Linked DNA regions of Oreochromis niloticus. The protein of the gene in region 1 interacts with the protein of each later gene in a biochemical or structural test. Links are inferred from orthologs where the notes say so. Each region holds a gene or a part of one and is shown on either strand. Other genes may lie near its edges.

The links. The genes of interacting proteins can lie anywhere in the genome.
Region 2: the proteins of blnk (region 1) and cd79a form a complex in vitro, tested with the Homo sapiens proteins (2 studies listed by BioGRID). The link is inferred for Oreochromis niloticus from reciprocal best matches to the Homo sapiens genes BLNK and CD79A.

The regions. Positions count from the first base shown.
Region 1 is NC_031978.2:26,389,976-26,400,136, forward strand, and holds the start of blnk (B-cell linker protein), read right to left. Parts: upstream 4,661-10,161; 5' UTR 4,565-4,660; coding exon 4,496-4,564; intron 4,268-4,495; coding exon 4,205-4,267; intron 1-4,204. Other genes in the region: dntt (DNA nucleotidylexotransferase), read left to right, coding at 7,777-7,970. UniProt on the Homo sapiens protein: Functions as a central linker protein, downstream of the B-cell receptor (BCR), bridging the SYK kinase to a multitude of signaling pathways and regulating biological outcomes of B-cell function and development.
Region 2 is NC_031976.2:25,272,214-25,282,956, reverse strand, and holds cd79a (B-cell antigen receptor complex-associated protein alpha chain), read right to left. Parts: upstream 4,272-10,743; 5' UTR 4,124-4,271; coding exon 4,078-4,123; intron 3,623-4,077; coding exon 3,305-3,622; intron 2,666-3,304; coding exon 2,550-2,665; intron 2,324-2,549; coding exon 2,261-2,323; intron 2,097-2,260; coding exon 1,971-2,096; 3' UTR 1,504-1,970; downstream 1-1,503. Other genes in the region: lipeb (hormone-sensitive lipase), read right to left, coding at 1,152-1,242; arhgef1 (rho guanine nucleotide exchange factor 1), read right to left, coding at 9,480-9,554, 9,992-10,173. UniProt on the Homo sapiens protein: Required in cooperation with CD79B for initiation of the signal transduction cascade activated by binding of antigen to the B-cell antigen receptor complex (BCR) which leads to internalization of the complex, trafficking to late endosomes and antigen presentation.

The sequences.
Region 1 (10,161 bases):
GTAATAAACACATTAAAATCACAGAATATCCCACTGGAAAGTCTACATTGGGTCATTGTGAAATCTTAGTTTCACCCTAAACCAGGTGCACAGACGACCACTATTCTTGTTTCTGTTCATGAGTGGTTTGCTGTCGGAGTGGCAAACAGCAAGGGCAAGGGTCTGACGCACAGAACATTTGTTAATACTTCTTGTTGAAACGAGTTTCATTTCACGATAGAGAGAACAGCTTCGCAGCTACACGGCCACAAAATTACCCCTCGGTTCTTTCACGGCAGCTGCACAAGGTCTCATGACTGTCATTAGGTGAGAGACTTTCCACATGTTCACAAATCTACACTGGATGTAGACAAGCTAATTCTAGTTTAAGGTGTTTTTCCTGCTTTGTGGCTCTGTTATCCATTACGAGGCAGCTGTGTCAAAATTCAAATTAGATTCAGTGAGGCTAAAGAATTACTGCTTATTACGCTGAGGATATATTATTGCAGAGTGCCGCTGTAGATTTTTAAGGCCAACGGCAAAGCAGAAATATACACTGCTTCCCCATATACAAGTCACTTTATTAGGTACAGCTGCTCTTTAACAGGTGGAAATGGGAGCATCGCATTACGGACATGAAGCTGTGATACTATGTCAGTATGGATTAAAATCTCTGAGGTATGTTTCCAGCACAAGACACTTCTGAATGCAAAAGGCAATCCAACCCTGCACCTAATAAAGTGGCAACTAAATGCAGATGTGCTATATGTGCTTCATAGGAAGCATCTGCAATGGAAGCACGTGGTTTTTTTTTTCGAGGGGCCTTCGTTTGTAATGTCAATGTGATACACAGAAGCTGAAAGTGGCTTCCCCACATAGCCGCCACACACAGGCGGCATTACAGAGATGGAAGCTGACAGTTCTTTTGATCTTCTGCTTCTACATATCGCTTTTAACCTGTCTACCTGTGTGAGCGAATGTGGCATCAAAAAGACAGAGATTACCTTTATCCGCGCTGCGCTGACTGTCTGTCATTCCTCTCCGTACTGTATTATACAGCCATCCACCGCTCGAATAAAACTGTTTTTCTTTTCTCACCTTTCATTCTTACCGCTAAATCGTGACCACGCGTTGTGGGTGCAATGTGAATAAGATGCATTCGAGCCAGGAGCTGATGATGACGTTGCCATATGAAAGCAGTTCAGATCTGTGTTGCTCACTTTTTTTAAATGGATTTTATGACCTTTGCTCCAGCCACTGTACATTACATGAATATGTAAAATAAGCCAAAGGCAATGCTCAGCAGAAGCATGCTCGCTGGATGACATTCAGATACCAAAGTGCAGGCCCTGCTCTGCTTCTGGACACACGCTGAGCTCCGGATGAGTCAAAAATAACTTATTACAAATGTTTCCTCTTCTTTGCTGGATTTTAAAAACCCATAGAAGAGGCAAACAATGCCTTTAAAAATTCTCCTTTTATTAATAATTAGTCCTTTCAGTGATGTCACTGGAGTGTTAACAACACTGCAGTTGTTGTCAAATGTGATTTTAGGTTAACACAGGCAAACACAGCCCCTTCAAACAATACAAAAACGTATATTTGCAGGCGGGTCGGTTTTTCAGAAGCACACTGATGATTCAACCACTGAGTCTTTAAAACGGTTGCTCTTGTAAAATAAAAGGAAGTGACATTACACTGCCAGGGGCAATTTCAGGATGTTTGTCAAAAATAGAAGAGGAACTGGATAGTTGCAATGAGCAGCGTCACTTGTAGTAGAGAAAGTAACAGAGCACCATCTGCTGGAATTCGTCAACTGAAAATCCAAACAAAACCTTTCTCAAAGACACAAATGTCTTTACAGTAAAGACTTTTTTCAGATATTTTCCAAATATATGTATCTATGAAGTTATTCTGTCAAACACAGACAACTTTATACACTTTCTGTAAGCATGCTCATAAACACCAGTGAACATTTAGTGTCATAACTCTTCTGTAACTTTCCAGATCTGAAAGGTGAAGCTTCTGCATTCTTTATCATTACCAGTAGGGGGCAACCTCTCTGGTTGTATGACAAAGACAGGTTGTCTATAGGAAAAGGATTCCACTAATCATTCCAGAAAACAGTTTCCTGACTGTGCTGTAGTATAACTTGTGAGTTAGAAATCTTCTCAGTTACATCATGGACTTTTTCTAAATTATGGCTACTTGTAGAGCCAATACTGCTTCAGGATGGGGCCACCTTGTGGTTGACAGCAGTGCCCAGAGTTTTCTTGCTCATCACATCCCACTTCACTGTGACAGCCAACATGCTTAAAGCCTTCACAAACTAGCAGGTGTCCATATTTTATATACAGTCATAACAGCCTAACATCAGCTTGCTAATATATTCCAGTAGCAATGCTAACAAGCTGATACTGATGGGAGCATTTGATTGGAGGAACAACCGGAAGGTAATCAAACCACAAATATCTGTACTATAGAGCTTAAAATAGCAGATTATATAACATTTTGCATTATATACAGTCTATTATTTGTGCAAATTGCTTACATATGCTACATAATAGTTAAAAATGCCAGCCTGCCTGTTTGAGCAAATTATAAAGTCAAGAGCAAAACAAAGTCCTCTATTGACACAGAATATTTGCTGCAAATTTCATGCCCGTGCACCCAGTTGTTGCTGAGCTACTTTGCTCTGAACCACAAATGTCAACCTCCTCTTGCGGCACTGGAGAAAAAGTTAGAGGTTTGCAAAAGTCAGCATGATTCAGCCTCTGAGGACGCCGAACAGCAGAAGGAAATTTCATCCAAAAGCGATCCATCGAGAAGCTGGTTGGGGATTTTAGGTTATAGATCAAAATCCTTTGCTGCAGTAAAAATACTGAATAAAAAAAAATAATCAACTAGACCAAAAAAAAAGCTTAAAAGTTTGACTGGGGAATGTCTGTCAGACACCGCAACCTTGAAGCTAGTTAAACTAAAAAGCTGGGCAGCCATTCAATAAAAGCATGGGTTTACTTAAGCGTGCACTGGCTGGATCCGTAGCTAAGGAGATCCATCAATCGATACACATACTGTATGTATATGTATATTTCAGATCGGTGCTGTTAATGTGCACATCAAAGCCTCTGCTCTGAAGTATTAATCAATTTGACTGATAAAAATCCGCATCTTTTTTTTTTTTTAACTATGCAGGCCAAACACTTCAGTGATGCAATATCCCACCTAAAGTGGAGTTAGCTCAGGGTCATTGAATAATGAATAGGCGACTAGGCCGCTGCTCTAATTTAGAGCGTGGCAAGAAGTGTGCATAAGCGTCCACTTAAAAGATGCATATGAATGAAAGCTTCTTCAGGCTTGCCAGTGTGTGGGAGGTTTTTACTGAAGTATTATAAAGATCCCCAAAACACCAAATATTAGGGAGTTATAAACCCTCACTTCAGTTATTTGCTGCATAAAATCCTCTTTAAACAGCGTTCCCCCTCATGACTGAAGCAGATTTAGAGATACTTACTTAAGTAAGTGGGGATTACAGCTTTATTAGCCATGAGACTCATTTCACACTCCTTACTCTCTCCCGAACAGGGGCACTCAGCTGCGCTCATTTTGGCAGCCTGCTTCTCGGTAACTATGAGAAAGGCCTCAGAGACTGTACACACGGTGTGGATGATGGAGACAGAGCAGCGAGGGTGAAACCAAAGCAGAAGTTACAACAGATACACAGACTTCCACATTAGCAGGGCCACAGTTTACACAAAGAGCAAGTGTGGAAAGTAACGCAACCGGCTTTAGTCATGTTTCGTATCCTGTGAACTCTCCTGTTTGTCAACTTGAAGCGTGCTTTTAGATTCATAGTAAAAGTGTGTTCGTCAGTCAAGTCAAGCAGTGACATTTTAACAAGAAAATAATAAAAAAATGTCTGCCAGAGTAACAGAGAGAGTGAGAGTTTTACAAATAAACCAGCCTCAACTGATTCTTTGTGTGTGTGTGTGTTTTCTAGCAAAATGGCACAAACAGCTCGAGGAAATGTAATTATTCTGCTGCTGTTAATGTCATAATCACAATAATAACAACTGCTCGTCAGGATTTGACCATTTTAATTAGAATAACAAACTGAACACAACCACAACCCTGATATGATCCTGGGTGGATTAGTAGATTATGTAACTGCGTGGGAGAAAGAGCCATTTCTGGATTATTCAGGTACAAATGAGGAAAGACTCACCAGAAATCTCTGTCCATTAATTTTCAGTCTGTTTACGGTGACGGCGCATTCTTGCATATTATTCTGAGGAGAGGAAACATATCCATTCACTACTTTTAAATTGCTAATTACACACACTTATTGAAACAACCAAACATTTAACTTCCAGTCATCTAATGTCCTGGTCTTACTTTAACACTTTAGCTGCTAATTTGCATTAACATTAACATTATACATGACCCTCAGAATGAAGTGGTGAATATTTAAACTATGACAAAACACAAGCATCTCTCCCATTTCCAGTGGACTCACCTTATACAGTAAGGAGGCTACTTTTGCCTGGTCCCACCCCTCGCACTCCTCTCTGGACGGCAGGTTCATTTCGGACTCTACAGGGAACCTCTGAGCACGAGTGTGCTTTTGGAAGTACAGTAATAGACTGACCCGTCACGCACTGTGGCTCTAGCGCAGCTTCAGCAGGGAGAAGTACACACAGAGAGGTCACCTCATTATAACCAACACACGTTTCCCGTCTCTCTCTCTCTCTCTCTCTTAACCCATAAGTGGTGTGGCAATTCATGTCTTCTTAAAATTTTAAAATTGTCCCATAGAATACAATGAGCCATTAACAAATAGGGAAGCGGGGACTTCCTCGTTCTATATAAATACTTCTGAAACAAAAGTTTCATAACAGTGGGACTTAATTTTTACATCCTAGCTCATGCCTGCTTCATTTATGGTTAAAGGATGTAATCCACTCTGCGTTTATTTTGATTTCAGGGGGTGATCGTATTTCACTCATGAGGCTCTTTAGGTTGCATTATTCTCTGAGGAAAGATGGCCATATATAGAGTGCATTCCTTCATTCAGCTTTTTTTAGAAACTTTGATAAGTTTAAGTTAACCTAATTACGTTTTTCACATATATATATATATATACATATATATATATATATATTTTTTTAAAATGATACTTTCAGGTCAGACATCACTACTTGCCATCCTACCAATGCCATTTGACTAGAGTGCAGTTACTCTTGCAATGCAAAGTGATATCAGATGAGGACACGGGCAGAACAAGTGGTGGAATGTAACTTAATAGAGCCTGCTGCTAATATTTGCTATTTGCATGATACACTGTATTGCCATATTTGTTCATCTGCCTTCACATGCATATGAACTTCAGTAACATCCTATTTTTAAACCATAGGGTTTGCAGCTATAACAGCTGACCACCAAACCCAGACTCGTCCTTCAGATTGCCAGATGGAGATACGTGATTCATCACTTCAGAGAACATCTGTCCACTGCTCTAGATTCCAGTGGTGGCGATCTTTGTGCCACTGCATCTGACGGTTTGCATTGGGTTTGGTAATATAAGGCTTGGATGCAGCTGCTCGGCCATCAAAACCCATTCCAGGAAGCTCCATACGCACTGCTCTTGAGCTTTTAAAGACTTGTGTAGCTTTTTCAGTATGTTTGAACCATTTTTAACATTTTTTTAGGAGCAGCAGAACAGTGTAGTTAAAAAATTCTGGTAAACTGACTATACTGTTGTCTTAGCAGAAAGAACAAATGGACAAAGTTAAAACGAGCTTTAAGCTAAATGGAGCATGTATCCCATCCTGCCTTGTATCAAGGGCTCAGGGTGGTAGTGCAATGTTGTGGGGAATATTTTCCTGGTACTCTTTGGACCCTTTAGTGTCAACTGAGCATCGTTCAAAGGCCAAAGGCTACCTGGGTATTACTGTATACGCTGTCCATGCATGCACCCATCTTCTGATGGTTCTAACAATGCACATGTCACCACAAAGTGCATCATGTCAAACTGGTATCTTGAAACTTTACTGTTAAGTAAAAGTTGCCAAAGGTTGGCTGTATTTCTTTTGATTCCAGTATTGTACGTGAAATTTCTTTGAGCACAGCATGCGTTGTTTGAATATTTGTGTGCTTGTAATGACTTATTATAGTCTAACGAGACTATAAAACCCCAACACAACTCTTAAAGTTGTACTAATTTTAAAACATACACAACATAAATGTCATTATTTTCATCTTCAAAGTTGTAGTAAATGGCCTCAGGGCACAAAAAAAGAAATAAACTAAAAAAAAAAATCAAGATATGACTGTCACTTTGTCCTTTCTAAATGGAACTGAATATGCACCATAATTGTAATTATCAGACAATTTTCTCTTGCACCCACAGAGCTACTCAAGAAAGGTGGAAGAGAAATTGGATTCATTGCTCGTGCAACGATTGCTGCTGGCAGTGTGAGAGCCATTCGTCTTAGTGATAGAATTTCATCGGTCTCACGTTTGGATGGGGGCCAGCACCCTCATATACAACTGACTGATTGGGATGGCGGATGGGTGGGGGTAAACAGTCAAACAATTAGTGGCGTCTGCCCCGTGACACCCGTTAACCCCCAGAACTCCGCGGTAATGAGATCTGTGTAATAATTTCTGTGTAGCAGACAGAAACAAGGTGTGCTTATTAAAGTGACGAAATGAACAGAGGCTGTGGTAATTAGATGTAGAATAAAGGCCTGTAATGATTTCATCACCCTCGCCTAAATCAACAAATCATTGCTGTTTGGTCTACTGAAGCAGATCCATTATTGCAGATAATTACAGCAAAGACCTGCTGAAACCTTTTCTTTTACATTCCTGACCGCCATAGCACAGGAATCATAACAACAGGAGACATGCTGTAATTACCTCTTGGGAAACAAAAGGAATAGATGAATTCAGCTGATTAAATCTTTTTTCAGTCTGCATTTCTGTCCGATCCATATGCAGCCGTATTCCCCGGATAAACGCTCCTAATCATCAACGGCTTGCGTATACAGTACCTGAGTGTGTGCAAAGGCCGTGCACGAGCTTGCGGGCTCTCCGGGGAAATGCCCACAAAGGCTCTCATTTTTAGGCAGTAAGCTAATTAAAGCGGCAGAGCAGATGGTGCAGGCTTGGTCCGGACATAATGAGACGGTGAGTGGCGAGACGAACTGGACATGGCAGGACAGCTGTGAGGGGTTTGTGAGGTGACCAGAATTCAGGCGTCTCCCAGGAGCGAGAGGCCTCGCTGGCAGTCGAGAGGAGCAGAATTTAAAGTCCATGAAAACTTTATGAGCAGCTTTTTAAGAAGAAGAAGAAGAAGAAGCAGCAGCTACTGGATTAGTAATTGTTTACTTCCTCCAAGTGTGTGTTGGTTGAAAATACTTCACTGGAAATGAGTAATACCACGTCAGCACAGTGTTTTTCAAAAAAAAGAAAAAAAAATATTATTTTTTCTCTCGCTCACATCCTCAATCACTCGATCTTGGCAGGTGGTTTTTGGTAAACACCAAATCCTCAGCACCTGTTGCCAGAGGCTTTTCCTGTCTGCCAGCTCTCACCAACTCTGCTCCCAAATATTAAAAAAAAAAAGAGAGAGAGAGAGACACAAGTGAAAAAAACAACTGCGCCATTACCAAAGTAGGTGTTTCTTTTTTTTTCCTGGATGGAAGTTAAGTGGCGCACAACAATACCGACACAAACTCACAAAAGCGGCGATTCCTAGAGGTGCAGAAATACTTTGGAGAGCTCATCTCAGAGATGTTCCACGCTCCTATTGTGCCTCGCGCGAGGAAGAGGTCAAGGCCGGCCGAAGCAAGCGCTCCCAGGCGTGAAGGGGTGAAGTTTGAGGATGTCAGGCTGTACCTGGTGGAGAGGAAAATGGGCCGCAGCAGGAGAAGCTTTCTGACCGAGCTGGCCAGGTCAAAGGGCTTTATTGTGGAAGACGTCCTCAGGTTTGGGAACCAAAAAAAAAGCTTGCCATTTGTGTCATTCACAGACTTAGCAAGGCTTGCCACCTAAAAGCTTTTCTCAATGTGAAGCTGAAAAGAGCTTTAATGTAAGGGGAGGAGGGGAGTGGGTACACCTTTATTTTCTGGGTTTGTATTTCCTGGAAGCAAACAGACTGGTTTGATCTGGCAGTTGACTTTTGAGGCCTCTAGTTTAACCCTAGAAGCATTCAGCAAAAGCATTTTCTGGCAGTCAAGCTTATGACTTCAAAATTAAATACTTTCCATGCCTACAAAAAGTTTTATTATAGTCTGAAAAAAAAAACAATTAAAATTTTGTGGAATAATTGCCTGTGCACAGAATTTTTGACTGATCGGAGTGGGAAAAACATGCCTGGACTTCAACACTGAGACATCCAAAGTTACTTTTTGGCACTTTTCTGCAAACTTCTTTTTTTCTTAGAAGCTATGGCCCAATTAGCTAAATAGAGAGCGACTATTGTCTCATGAATAGTTAATTAAGAAGGGTTAGGGCATCCATCCTGCCTCCTCTTCACCTTAGTGGATTTCCCCCCCCCTGAGCCATTACTCACAGCTCCACACATAAATACGTTAAAAGCAGGGGGAAGAAATTGGCTAAACCAGCTGCAGCTTGTTGGCAGCCAGAGAACTACAAACAATAGAAGAAAGGTAACAGAGCACACGCAAACTTTTTAATGAGTTTGGTGAAAGTTTTTTTTTTTTTTGTTAAGTCTCACTTAAGAAGAGATGTTCTGTGAGCTTGTTCCTTGGGATGATGATTCATCTATTGCGCGGTAATTACAGACGCAGCGTGCCTCCGTCGTTTTTTCTGCCTCTAATTGAAAGTATCTTTTTAAAGTCCCAAACTGTGAGCACAGCAGAAGTCCTCCGCTTGACACCAGAGATGCTTTAGAGTCAGGCTTCTTTGTTAACGCAACATCCCGTTATTTAGATGTCGACTTTGTTTTCAGTGCTGGGCGTTAAGCTCAGAGTTTGAGCTCCTCTGGTGAGCAGGTGTTTTTGTTTGTGTTTTTCATTGCTTTGCTTTCATGGAAAGTGAGGGCAATTTCTCCTTCTAAGTTAACATTAGCTCAAGGTTGGAAAATGGTTGAAGTTGAGCATATGATGTAGGGTGTATGTACAGGGTTTAGGCAAAGGGTCCCCATGAGTATGCTATAACCAGCGTAAGAGCCTGTGTGTGTTTGTGCGCGAGACAGAGAGAGAGTGTTTAAATGCGTGTCTAAGTGGGCCTGCCAGCCGTGCACCAGCTTGGCCATGGCAGCATTCCCAGAAACACAGCTTGAGCGCTCCTACGGTTACACTTGGCTTGATACAATTGTTTGAAACCAACGACAGGAAGTAGAGCGTGCCCGCCTCAAACTGACATTAATTCTGCAAGCCGACAAAACTGCTATCAGCTGCAGTTTGATAGCAACACCTCACGTGCCTAGTCTTACACACGTTATAGGCAGACTGCCTCCAGCATATGGTCAGATGCACTGCCTGCTTTCCTCTGAGCATAAAGGAACATGCTCGTACACGCACACGCACAATCACACGACGCACATACACACAGGTTTCCACATTGTATGAATTTCAAGGCCTGTGCGCATGAACATGGATCAAAATATTGACATGTTTGTCCTGGGTGACTGATGAGCTGCATTACATGCTGTTTCGCAAATGGGAATAACACACACACACGCACACATACTTACCCCATTAGTTTAGGTCATAGGCACCATTTTTCAAACGCTTTGTTTTCTGAGGAATGATGTTTTATCCTTGAATTTGTCACAGCAGTTAGATATGATGTTGGATGTGACTGTACACATGAGCCTTTGGTGCAGCTGCTGTAAAACAAAAATCAGTGGCAGAGAATTAAAAACATTTAGCTCAATATGCATCAATATTTATCGTATGCTCGTGTTCTAACATATGTTACCCGAGTTCCACTACTAATTATTCCCTCCCACTGAACCTTCATTCCCAATGCAAGCCGTACCTCAACACCCACATCAAGCTAGCAAGCTAGCAAGCTAGCAATCACTTCGCGGGCCACCTTCACATTCTTTTTATTACTTTTTTTGTGGACACTAACACATTTATTCATTTATTTGTTTTCTCTGTACACTACCACACTGGATTTTAAATCAAACAATTTGTATGTAATTGA
Region 2 (10,743 bases), on another chromosome or scaffold:
CAGGCAGAGCACCTTCACACGCACACAAGTCCAAACTCAACAACAGGAAACTTGCAACAATGAGCCTCCACACCCTTTACATAAATGGGTTCACCTAAGTTTTATAATATCATAGCATTATAGGAAAAGAAAATTATAAGTCTGATGATAAGATCTGATAAAACCTGAGCATGTTAGGAAATTTCCATAACAAGTAAGATTAGGGGAAGCGCTTCCTATCCAATTATAGGGGCCTACAATACACAATGTCATTTGTTTAGATAGCAAAGACAAAGATAAGATTCAGACTGCGGTCAGAAATATGGCTTTTTGAACGTGGTGGGCTGGACTGTTCTTAAATACAATGAGACAGAAGACTAGTCACCAGACGAACAGAGCAAAATCGAGAGTGTGTTTAGTAATAATAGTACATCCACAGTCCCTACGAGCATCGTGCTTTGAAAGTCTGCCACCGCCTTTCAGAGGCTTGCTGTTAGTCACGATGTGTCACCCTGCTCTTACGTCACATCGGTCGAACTAGTGACAGCGTCACCATCAGTCGACCTTAATCGATTAATGCACAGTGCAGTACAACTATAAACTCCCCCTTTGTGTGCATGTATTACGCTCGCAGCTTTAATCTGGTTAATCTAGTCTCCTCCTCTAGTGGTTGTTTTTTGCGTACCTGTTCAGGTGGGTCCGGTCGGTGTCAGCGGTCGACGCTAGAGTCACGAAAAGTGACAAGTGAACATAAATACGAGCACGTGCTACATACAGTATGTGTCCCGTAAACTAAAGTCTATTACATAGATAACCTGGCTGCTAACGTTATAATGACTACTAACGGTGTGCAGGCGGCTGCTACGTCTAAAGGATGCTCTAACTAGAGACATGCCAGCAACAGAGTGTCACAGTTTGACTGGACACTTCTTTCACCAACAGCTCGCACATGTTAACTCAGCGCCTCCCTTTTTCTGTCATACAAGAATCATGAGACTTTTACTGCTAAAACAGACCTAGCGGCAGCTACCAAAGGACAGCTAACTTAGCCGCTAACGGACGCTAGCAGGAGGACACAGCGTACAACTGGGGAGGGGGGGTGTTATTAAAGAGACAAGCCACAGAGGGAGCTTAGTAGGTAGACCAAATTTACAAAAAAAAAAAACCCTCACCCACTGGACCCTCTTTGTGTTTGGACGAGCGCCTTCCATTCACACCTTTTTCCAGTCTGCTAGTCCCACTACCCTTCTTGCTGGACGCCATATTCGCCCACTCTGTTTACGCACCGCCTCTCACATCTCTTATAACAGATCTACCTGGGAAGCCATGAGACCACGCCCACGCCAGAAATGTAAGCCAATGAAAACCTACCTCTGTTCAGTAACCAATCAGGACAAATCAAAATTTCGTAAGTGCCGCCCTACTCTCTTTATTGTGCAACCCCCTAAAAGAAACAAAGCCTTATCCTATTCACTGCACACAGAGGGCAATTGTATTACTCAGACAATTTATAGAGAGATTTGATGGATTTTTTAACATCATTTTATTATTCCAGCACTCACAGAAATAGCAAAAAGCACATAACTGTTGCAGATGCACGTCAATGAATATTTAAAAAGCCGACAACGCAACCTGGGGTGCATAAGTAGCCTAACCAGTCTGACCCGTCATGTTTTTCTGGAGCCTGTGTGCAAAATTAGAATAAAAAAGCTAAAGCAAAACACCCACATATATTTAAAAATGTAAATGTGTATATTTAAAAACATCATGAAACAAGTGAAAAAAAGTTTATAGTTGATATGTTGATAAGCACGTATTTCTAAAATCCTGGTTGCAGACCAGTGGATATTGTGTTAAGATTGTTTTGACAAATACAGTTTAAATCTTAAAAAATAAAAACCTTCAGAGTACAAAACTCTGAAATCAGAGCGTGCTGTAAGAAGCCTGCTATTTACATGTAACACTCGTAACCGTCTGTTCTTCACTTTGTTTTATGGTTTCTCCAGCTGGATTTCTTCCTCTTCTTCCTTAATGTTGCCCACATCCTGGTACGGGCCCTGTGCTTGGGAGCGTTCAATCTGATCGTATGTTGCACAACAGTCATCCAGATTTAGCCCCTGGTTTTTGATAAAATGAAAAAGGAAATCATGCAAAGGCTATTATCAGTAAAAGATATACACATCAACAACAAAAAGAACTAGAAATGGTGTTCATTTCTTAGCTCCTGCTTTCCTGCTTTGCCTTGTGTAATGGAAAGAGATTGAGAATATGTAATGTTGACCTGATATATATTTTCCTCTTCTTTCTTTGCTTTCTTTTTCTCCAGTTCATTAAGCTTCTTTGACTGTAGGGCAAACCAAAAGTAGTAAATCAGTCAAACGTTGCAAATTCCCATTGTTGACAGAGAAGAAAGAAAAAAAAATCCATGCCAGAGTCGCACAGCTCTGGCATTACTTTTTAATGCATGAATAATACATTAAAAATAATGCTCTTGTGGGTAAATGCTTGAAATTAAGGATAGCTTCAACAGTAGTGCTGCTGATCATTGTATAATAATGCAACGTTCTGACCTTGAACAGAAGAATGGCAGAAGGCAGCATCACACACAGTAATAGTAAGAATCCCTCAGCTATCAGGATCTTGTTTTTGGTGGTTTCACTCAGGTTTATGGTCTTCTCCATTGGCTCTAGGAATGCAGAAAGGGTTCAGAGGTCAAACAAACAAATTAGCACTTGCACATATTGGTTTTTAAACACGAGTTATCTTTTTCCACTTTAAGTGTGAACACGTGAATCCTGCGTATTTGTTAGCCTGCATATGAGAACGCAGGCCAACAAAATCATTACTTAAAAGCCTTACCAGGAGATTTATTATGAGACTGATAGTTTTGTTATATAACTGTTACATTTAGCATAAGGATCACAGTTAAACATACAATTGGTGGTACTGTTAGGTCACGTTAACAGTGCAGGTTATCGCACACATAATCCCTCTGACTGGCAGTTTTATGTTTCCTCATCTACCATCTGGTTTTAATGAGATTAGTGTGTAAAGAGGCCTTTCAGTGTGACTAATGCCTTTGCACATGACTGAAATGACATGACTGAAATTTGATCTAATTTTGGTGCTATTTAAAGTGAATGAATGGTGCAGCATACTGCAATGCAACAACCCTGAAGATGTAAAGATGAAATAAGTTGAATATATATGGATGCTGCCATTTTCACAGCTCTTGGACAGATTAACAATAACAGGATTTATGGCTTATGAAGTAGTGACAACCCCCCCCCCCCCCAAAACAACACATATACACACGCACACTCACTGTAGACACGCAGGTAGGTTCCATGTGAATAGATTTTAGCATTCAGCACACACTGGTAAAATCCAATGTTCTCCAGCTGTACTTTAGTGAAGTGTAGCACGGAACAATATATTTTTACAGAGTTTGACTCTTTGGTCTCTGATTTAACTGTTTGATTTAACACCACCTCCTGAGTTTTGTTATGATGGCGGATCCAGGTGACATTCGCTATCCTCGACGGTGATTTATAGCAGCATTCCAGTGAAGCGTTTTCAGAGACTGCCACACTCAGTGAGGGTCTGTCTGGTTCTAAAGTCAGGTCACCCCAAGCAAAATCCACTGTTGAAGAAAGCGCAAGTTAAGACATGTTATGTTGTAGGACTTGTTATCGAGGTCTCCGATTATTTAATGATGGCTGCATATAATGTCACAACCCATATTCAAAACTGACAAAGTATTAAAATATGCTTTAAAAATGCCAAATGATCTATAATTGTATAGCATAAGTAACCAGAACGACTGAAGCAAAAAATGTCATCATGATAGCACAGCCATCTGTTTTGACAGGAAATGTGGTTCACTGAAGCAGAACTCAAAAGGGTTAAACAAACTTTAATACATGAGTACATATATACTGAACCGATATGTAGAAATATGACATGCTGAAACAATTAATCTTTCAAAAACATAACTGAGATTTCTGAAATATGTAATAAACGGATGATGTCAATGATTACTTCTAAATAAAACAAGTCCACATACTTGAATGTGTTAAAAAATATAATCTGACTCACCCACCAAGCTGGAGAGGACAAATATTACAACCATCCCCATTTTCATAAGCCAAAATTCAATCTAGAAATAAAAACGGATGAAATTCTGATTTTAAAAAAAGTTTTAAAAAATTCTACACACAGCGCTGCTTCAGTCTTCTCTTCTGCAAGATCACACTGGTGTCTTGTTTTTCAGTGGCAGGATTTATGCTTGAATAAATTTCCACCAGCCCACATTTGCTTAAGTACTGCATCCAAACAGTTAAAAAAATAGAACCTTGTTTTTTAAAAAAAGTCTGAAAGTCTGTTGAACATGCAAATAGCAACTAAATGCTGCTCTTAACTGAAAATTGCTAATATCAAAAGTAGAAATGGAACAGTTGATAGAGGGACAATGTATTGTATTTCTTCTTTTCTCTGAAAGCAATAACTCAGGAGACAAACTGTTCAAGCTTTGAAGTAAAAGTCTTACTATTAAACATTTTGGAGCCTTGGTCAGTCGTTTTTCTTTTCAGTGTGCCTTGTGATTCCATTGGGTGAGATACTGGCAGACTATTTCAGTTTGGCGCCGTGCTGTTGTTCCTCCCACTCATCACCACTCTGATTAACATTTAAATCCCTAACATTTAAACATCTACATTACCTGCTACTGAGATGAATACATATCATCTACAGTGAGTACAGGACCCACTAGAGGACATCAAGGCCTCAGGCCACCCTCTGAAGTCTGCTGAAGGTCATTTTGTAGGACTCTGGGAGTTCTCCTGCTGTTCCTCCTTGCACAAAGGAGCAGGTACCTTTCCAGCTTTCTTAAAGTAACTGCCCGTCTCCTGGAACCTCCTTCATGCTCTTAACACCATTATTGGGAGACACTGGAAACCTTCTGGCAATGGCAAGTATTGCTGTACCTTCCTGGAGGAGTTGAAATACCTGTGCAACCTGTGTAAGGTCCCAGTGTTGCCAAATTCTAGTAGTGACACTGCTTGTTATAGCACCTACTGGAGGGGAATAGTTGGAAGAAGACCTCACAGTCCTTTGTAGTCTGTTCTTGTCCTGTTTGATGGCTGATCCAAACCTTCCAGTGATATACCTGGATTGTTGCAGAGTGCACCCATCAAAACTACAAGAATGTCAAATTTAGATTAATCAGACAAAAACAAACACTTTGTCTCAAATGAGGTCAGACCCATAGGTGGAGAGTTTCTGGATCTTGTTTACCTTTTTTGTTTTACAGTGGAGCTTTGTTTAATTGGTGCATGCAGTGTCATGAACTGTGTTCCTGAACTAATGCAGTGCTTTCCACTACAGAAATCTATTGTTTCAAACAGCTTTGGCTTAAGATCCATTTAATGTTTTTCAGCCTTGTTCCCTGTGTATTAAAAAACCCTGTAAATTCTTTGCAATTCAACATTTAGAAAGAGATAGCTACTTGCACATAAAGCCATCATCTTTACCTTTTAAATACCTTTCTGGGACTTTTTGCACAATTAACTGTATATTGCAGATTAATATAATCAGATTTGAGATTTGACACATTTTTTCAATTAAATATTTAGAATTTAAAGGACTGGAATTTACATGGAATCCCGATATTCTATATTTCATGTGTTTTTAAAAAAAAATATGCACTGTATATTTAAAAAAGAAATGTAGTGAAGCCCAACTATGGTTGAACCCTAAACAATTGTCATGATGTTCTCCCAACTGTAAATAAGAAAACAGAAAAAAATTTCCCCAGTTTATTAAAAAAAAAAAGAGAGAAAAGAAATAAAAAAACAGAGCGTACCACAAATTTCTTTAGGTATACATCATTAAAGAGCATCTTACACAATAAAAATCAAACCCAAATACACAGTATAGTTCTTGCATATACAATGTTTATAGATAAGATGGCAAACACCAGTATGGCAAGGAGCAGTGTCTATTTCGTTTTTTTTAATATACTGGGCACTGGTCGGCTGAGTTGGTAGAGGGCTTACATCCTCACTATGGGATAGAGATGGACACAAAAATAGTGTGATGAAGCCCAAGTTTAAACTACATATAGAAACAACCCTCAAACCTTAAACCACCCAACCAGAATCCTGGCATGATTTTTCTCTGCTTACTAGTCATGTTTCTCATTGAGGTACACACACAGCAGTGATTGTGTTCAACTAAAGAGTCCTTTATGAAGCAAACAACTTGATCGTTAGAACAAGGCACCACTCTATAAATAAAGTTTTCTATACATTTTGTATATGGAATACATGAGGAAAAGCATTTAAAGGAGAGAGCGCGAGAAGTGCCTGTCGTAGTTGTTGAGCCAGTGGAGACTGAAGGAATCAGCTGATGCTGTTGGTAGCTGGACTCCAACTGCCTACCACCTACATTAATAAAAATTGAAAAGCACTGTGGGTAGCCTGAGGACAGAGCTGGTTGGCACTGAATATTTTTTCTTTCAATTGATTCACAATCATAAAACTGCAAAGACAAGTTACAGGCAAGTCCTGCCTCTCTCACCATTGTGGAAAATGCATAGTAAATAATTACAAAAGCCTCTGTGGAAAATACTCCCTCCCCAACCTACTTAAGTGACTCAATACACAAAATGTGGGATAAAACTGTGCAGTAGAAACAAGTGATTACGCAATTAAAAGGTGTGAGTGTGTTATGAAGAAGAGTGTGTAGCTAAAAAAAAAAAAAAAGCTTAACACACAGAGGGGAGCTATTATTATTTTTTTGTCTTTGTCTTTTTTTGCCTTCAAACTACATTTATATACACTTCCAAAGAGCAATACATGGAGAGAGATGCTAGAATCATATATAGAAGACTATGAACACTTAAGTGATCAAAATGAGCAAACCCGGTGAGGTTCAGTAGGTTCAAAGGTGGCATTTGTTGTTGTGGCAACAACAACAATAAGAATGCATGTCAGGAAGTGCTCCTGATTACAGTGCTGGTAAGAGTGATGTTGGAGTGAGTCTACAGTTTTCCTTCCTCCAGACCTTCAGCATTTCCTTTGTGTCCTCATCTGGCTGCAGTATTGCTGCTGTGTCAGTATCAGCCCCATATGTTCAGCTTAGTACCAGGGGCGTGTGCGGTGCGTCTCTAATCCTCTATAGCGCAACTTTTTTGTTCAATGTTAAACTTCCCAGTCCTATAGATTGTTAATGTCTTATGACTAATCCCAAATAATCTAACATTTTTCATCTTGGTATTTTCTTTACATTAACTTTTAAAAAAATTGTGTTTTTATTATTCAATGTGCTTTTCAAATCCCTTCGTGTTTGGGGTGAAGAAAAGCAGCTGCTGATTCCAGACTGCATTACTGAGCCACCATTCCTGCATCAACATTTTGTGACACGCTACTACACAGATGATGCACGTCACTAATAAAGCTAATGTACAAATGAGGATCTAGCGGTTTGCTGTTACTTCTTTGGTCCTGTGTGCACAGCCCCAGTTACGCCACAGATCAGAAATTATATTACCATAGTCAACTGCTCAATAAAATATCACCATAGCTCAAATTTTCAATATACCAGAGATGAACAGATTTTTTTTTTTTTAAATCAATCTGATCTCATAATACGCCGAAAAGTATAACCCCAACTAAAGTGTTTTGGATGAGCATTTAGGAACCCTCTCTAAAGCTAAGTTGAAACTTCTGAAATGATATGAGCGTGGTAATACTGAGCTCTCTATATATTTCATATATATACATTTTTCTGTATTTTTTTGTTTTTTAATATAGGGGCGCAAATCCTAATCTCCTACTTTCTACTCTCTCATGACCATCAAGTTAAAGGTATCTAAGAAGCAACCACCTTGAAACCAGTTGCCAGTTCTTTCACTTTTCTATTCCACTCTAATCTGCTCTACACACGCAAGCTTCGCTTTTGTTTGTCCTGTCCGACATTTGCACATCGCTTTTTCTTTCTGGCCTGGCATTGTATCAGCTTCACTCAGGTGAAGAAGCTCACTGACACACAAGGACTCAAGGGAATAAATAAAAGCGGTACATACAAACAAATCTCCACTATTAACAGCAAGATTACTTATACTGCCACTATTTATAAATGATTTTTATGTGACCTAATTACAGTAAGAATCATCCAAAGAAATATATCCTTAATTAAAAAATTTGTAACGCACATACACACACTTTCTTGCATGCATCGTTTCAATAATGAGGGCTGCCTTAATAACCATACAGAATACAGAGCTAAAAGTAACAAAATTAGCAATAACTGTGTGCGTTCATCTTGTTTTGATTAAAAGTGCATCTCTGTTTTACTTTGGCATAGACTAGAAATAACACTATATATCAGTAGTAGTATTTCAATAGACCTAATGCTACATTGGCCATTTAAGGCTCTCTCTTTTACTGTACATTTGAATTTGGCATTACTGTAAATTATTTTCCATCATGCATGTTTCTGGTTTGCGTATGTGTGTTACAGCAGACTCAAATCACTATATTTTCTTAGGCAGCAACTCACTAACAGCAAAATATTGCTTCATTTCTTTTGGCACCTCTCACTAACAGCATCCTCAAACCCCAATTTAGCATTGTTTTTTTCTTTTTTTGTATAGCCCTCTATCCAGCATGCACGCACACATACACACCTCCCATGTTCCATTACTGAACCACTGCACTGTGCACAAAGCCCTTCCCTAAATGGCCAATTGGTAAAAGGAGAAAAAACCCCCCCAAAATAAAACTTCTGATTGGCTGCAAACAGCTGACATACACACCCACACACATACACACATACACCCACACACACGCAAGAGGGGGAAGAAAAAGAAATGTATCGATGGTCTGGTCATAGATGTATGACGGTATAGGAATTTCCAGGAAAGCCTCTGAAAGTCACTCAGTCCAAACCAGCACCAGTCAAAACCTGCACAGAAAAAAAAAATCATTAAAAACCCCCCCCAAAAAACCAACATACTTTTTAATATAAATCCTGTTTTTTTTTTTTAATCTAGTATTTTTGTAGTCTCATTTTGATTCTTCAGACTTTACAGTCACAAAAATGCAAATGCAGCTTGAGAAGAGCTCATAAAAATGCAGGTGCTGTCATCAGTCACCTTCAAATGTTGCCATTAGCTCACGGCCAATAGTCCCAACTACCAGCAGTAAGTGGTTTTTGTTTTTGCCTTGGGCTTCACCTCTCAGGCCACGTACAAACTGCCCCAACTTGTTTATGGATTTTGCTTGAGATATACACAGTTTAACAATAACACTGCACATATTTTTCAGGGTGAAAAAAAAAAAAAAAGCTGTCCAAAAGCTAAACCTGATTCTTTTAACCTTGTCCATTCGTGAGTGGAAATGGCTCTATAACATTAATCATAATGACAATTCGATACTTAACATGACTATCTAGTTTAGTGTTCTCACCTAACGGCCAGCAGGAGGCATTAAGGTGGGTCACTGGAAGCTGCCCCCCTCCAGTGAGAACTTGGAAAGGGCTTCCTGCAGCTTGTGGTGTTCCTCTTCTACAGTCTGCAACACACAAAATCAATATAACCGTAGGAACTGAGAACACACAAACACACACACAATTCAACCTTCTCCTCTTAACATCCTCTCTTCGTCTCCCTCGCTGCTTCTCTGACACATCCCATTGCAAGTGCTGGACATAATAGCCATTTTTAGAGAAGTCCAATTTCACAAGGCAATTTTCAGCAAAGCAATAACAGCAGCAGTTAAATGGTTTTCTATTCTCTGGTTTCTCTTTTGTGCCATTTGGCCCCATTTGTCCACAGCTCACTCCTTACTCAAGTTATCCCCACTGAAATCTTCATGCCCAGCTCTGAGTCTCTTTCTAGTCAGTTCCAATCTTTTGTTAGAGCTGACATTTCTATCTGCCCCTGTCATACGTCCTGCTCCCTGCTTACAGTTTTCTCTCAATATTCCCCTCCATCTCCCCCTCTGTTCACCTGTAGTCTCTTTAGTTGTTCCTCCAGGCTGCGTAGCCTCCTGCACACTTCCTCCTTCCTCTCCTGGGACAGCACCAGGGGCGCGCTGATGCTCTCATCGTCTCCTTTTGGGTTTTGACCTTCTTTGTCTGTACTCATGGGGTTCGTCTCCTCAGCTACTTCGTTCGTGGTCTGACTTTCATCTGTGGATAGAAAGATATAGTTTGAAAGTGTCAAGAGTCAGTAGTCTTTAAATTATAATAAATTCTGACCATTAATAATTAGCATTAAAAAAATCCTTTGACATTGTAAGTTCCTTGTAATAGTGCTTCAAATAGAATAATACACACATACACAAAATCCTGCTTTAATGTGAGGGGATTTGCAGTCCTGCTTTTAAAATGGATATACTGATATCTAATTGTGATATTAGAAATACTTTAATACTACTGATGAATGTGTACATTATTTTAATAACAATATGAAAGGAATTAAAACAAAATTACTAAAAAAATATAATATATTACATAATTGTATGTAAAAATAATAATAATAATTATTATTATTTCTTAAAAAATTAGATAACAGTGGGTTTTTTTGAAAAATAAGGACAAGGAACTATACACCAGAGCTTTCAACTTTAAATGCTTACCGTAAAATCAATTCATTAAGAGGAGATGGTTAATTTTGCTTAGCATTAAGACTGGAAACAGTTAGCCTTGCTGCATCAGCTAATGTTAACAACTCTGGAAAGTCATTGCTTAAGAAAAAAA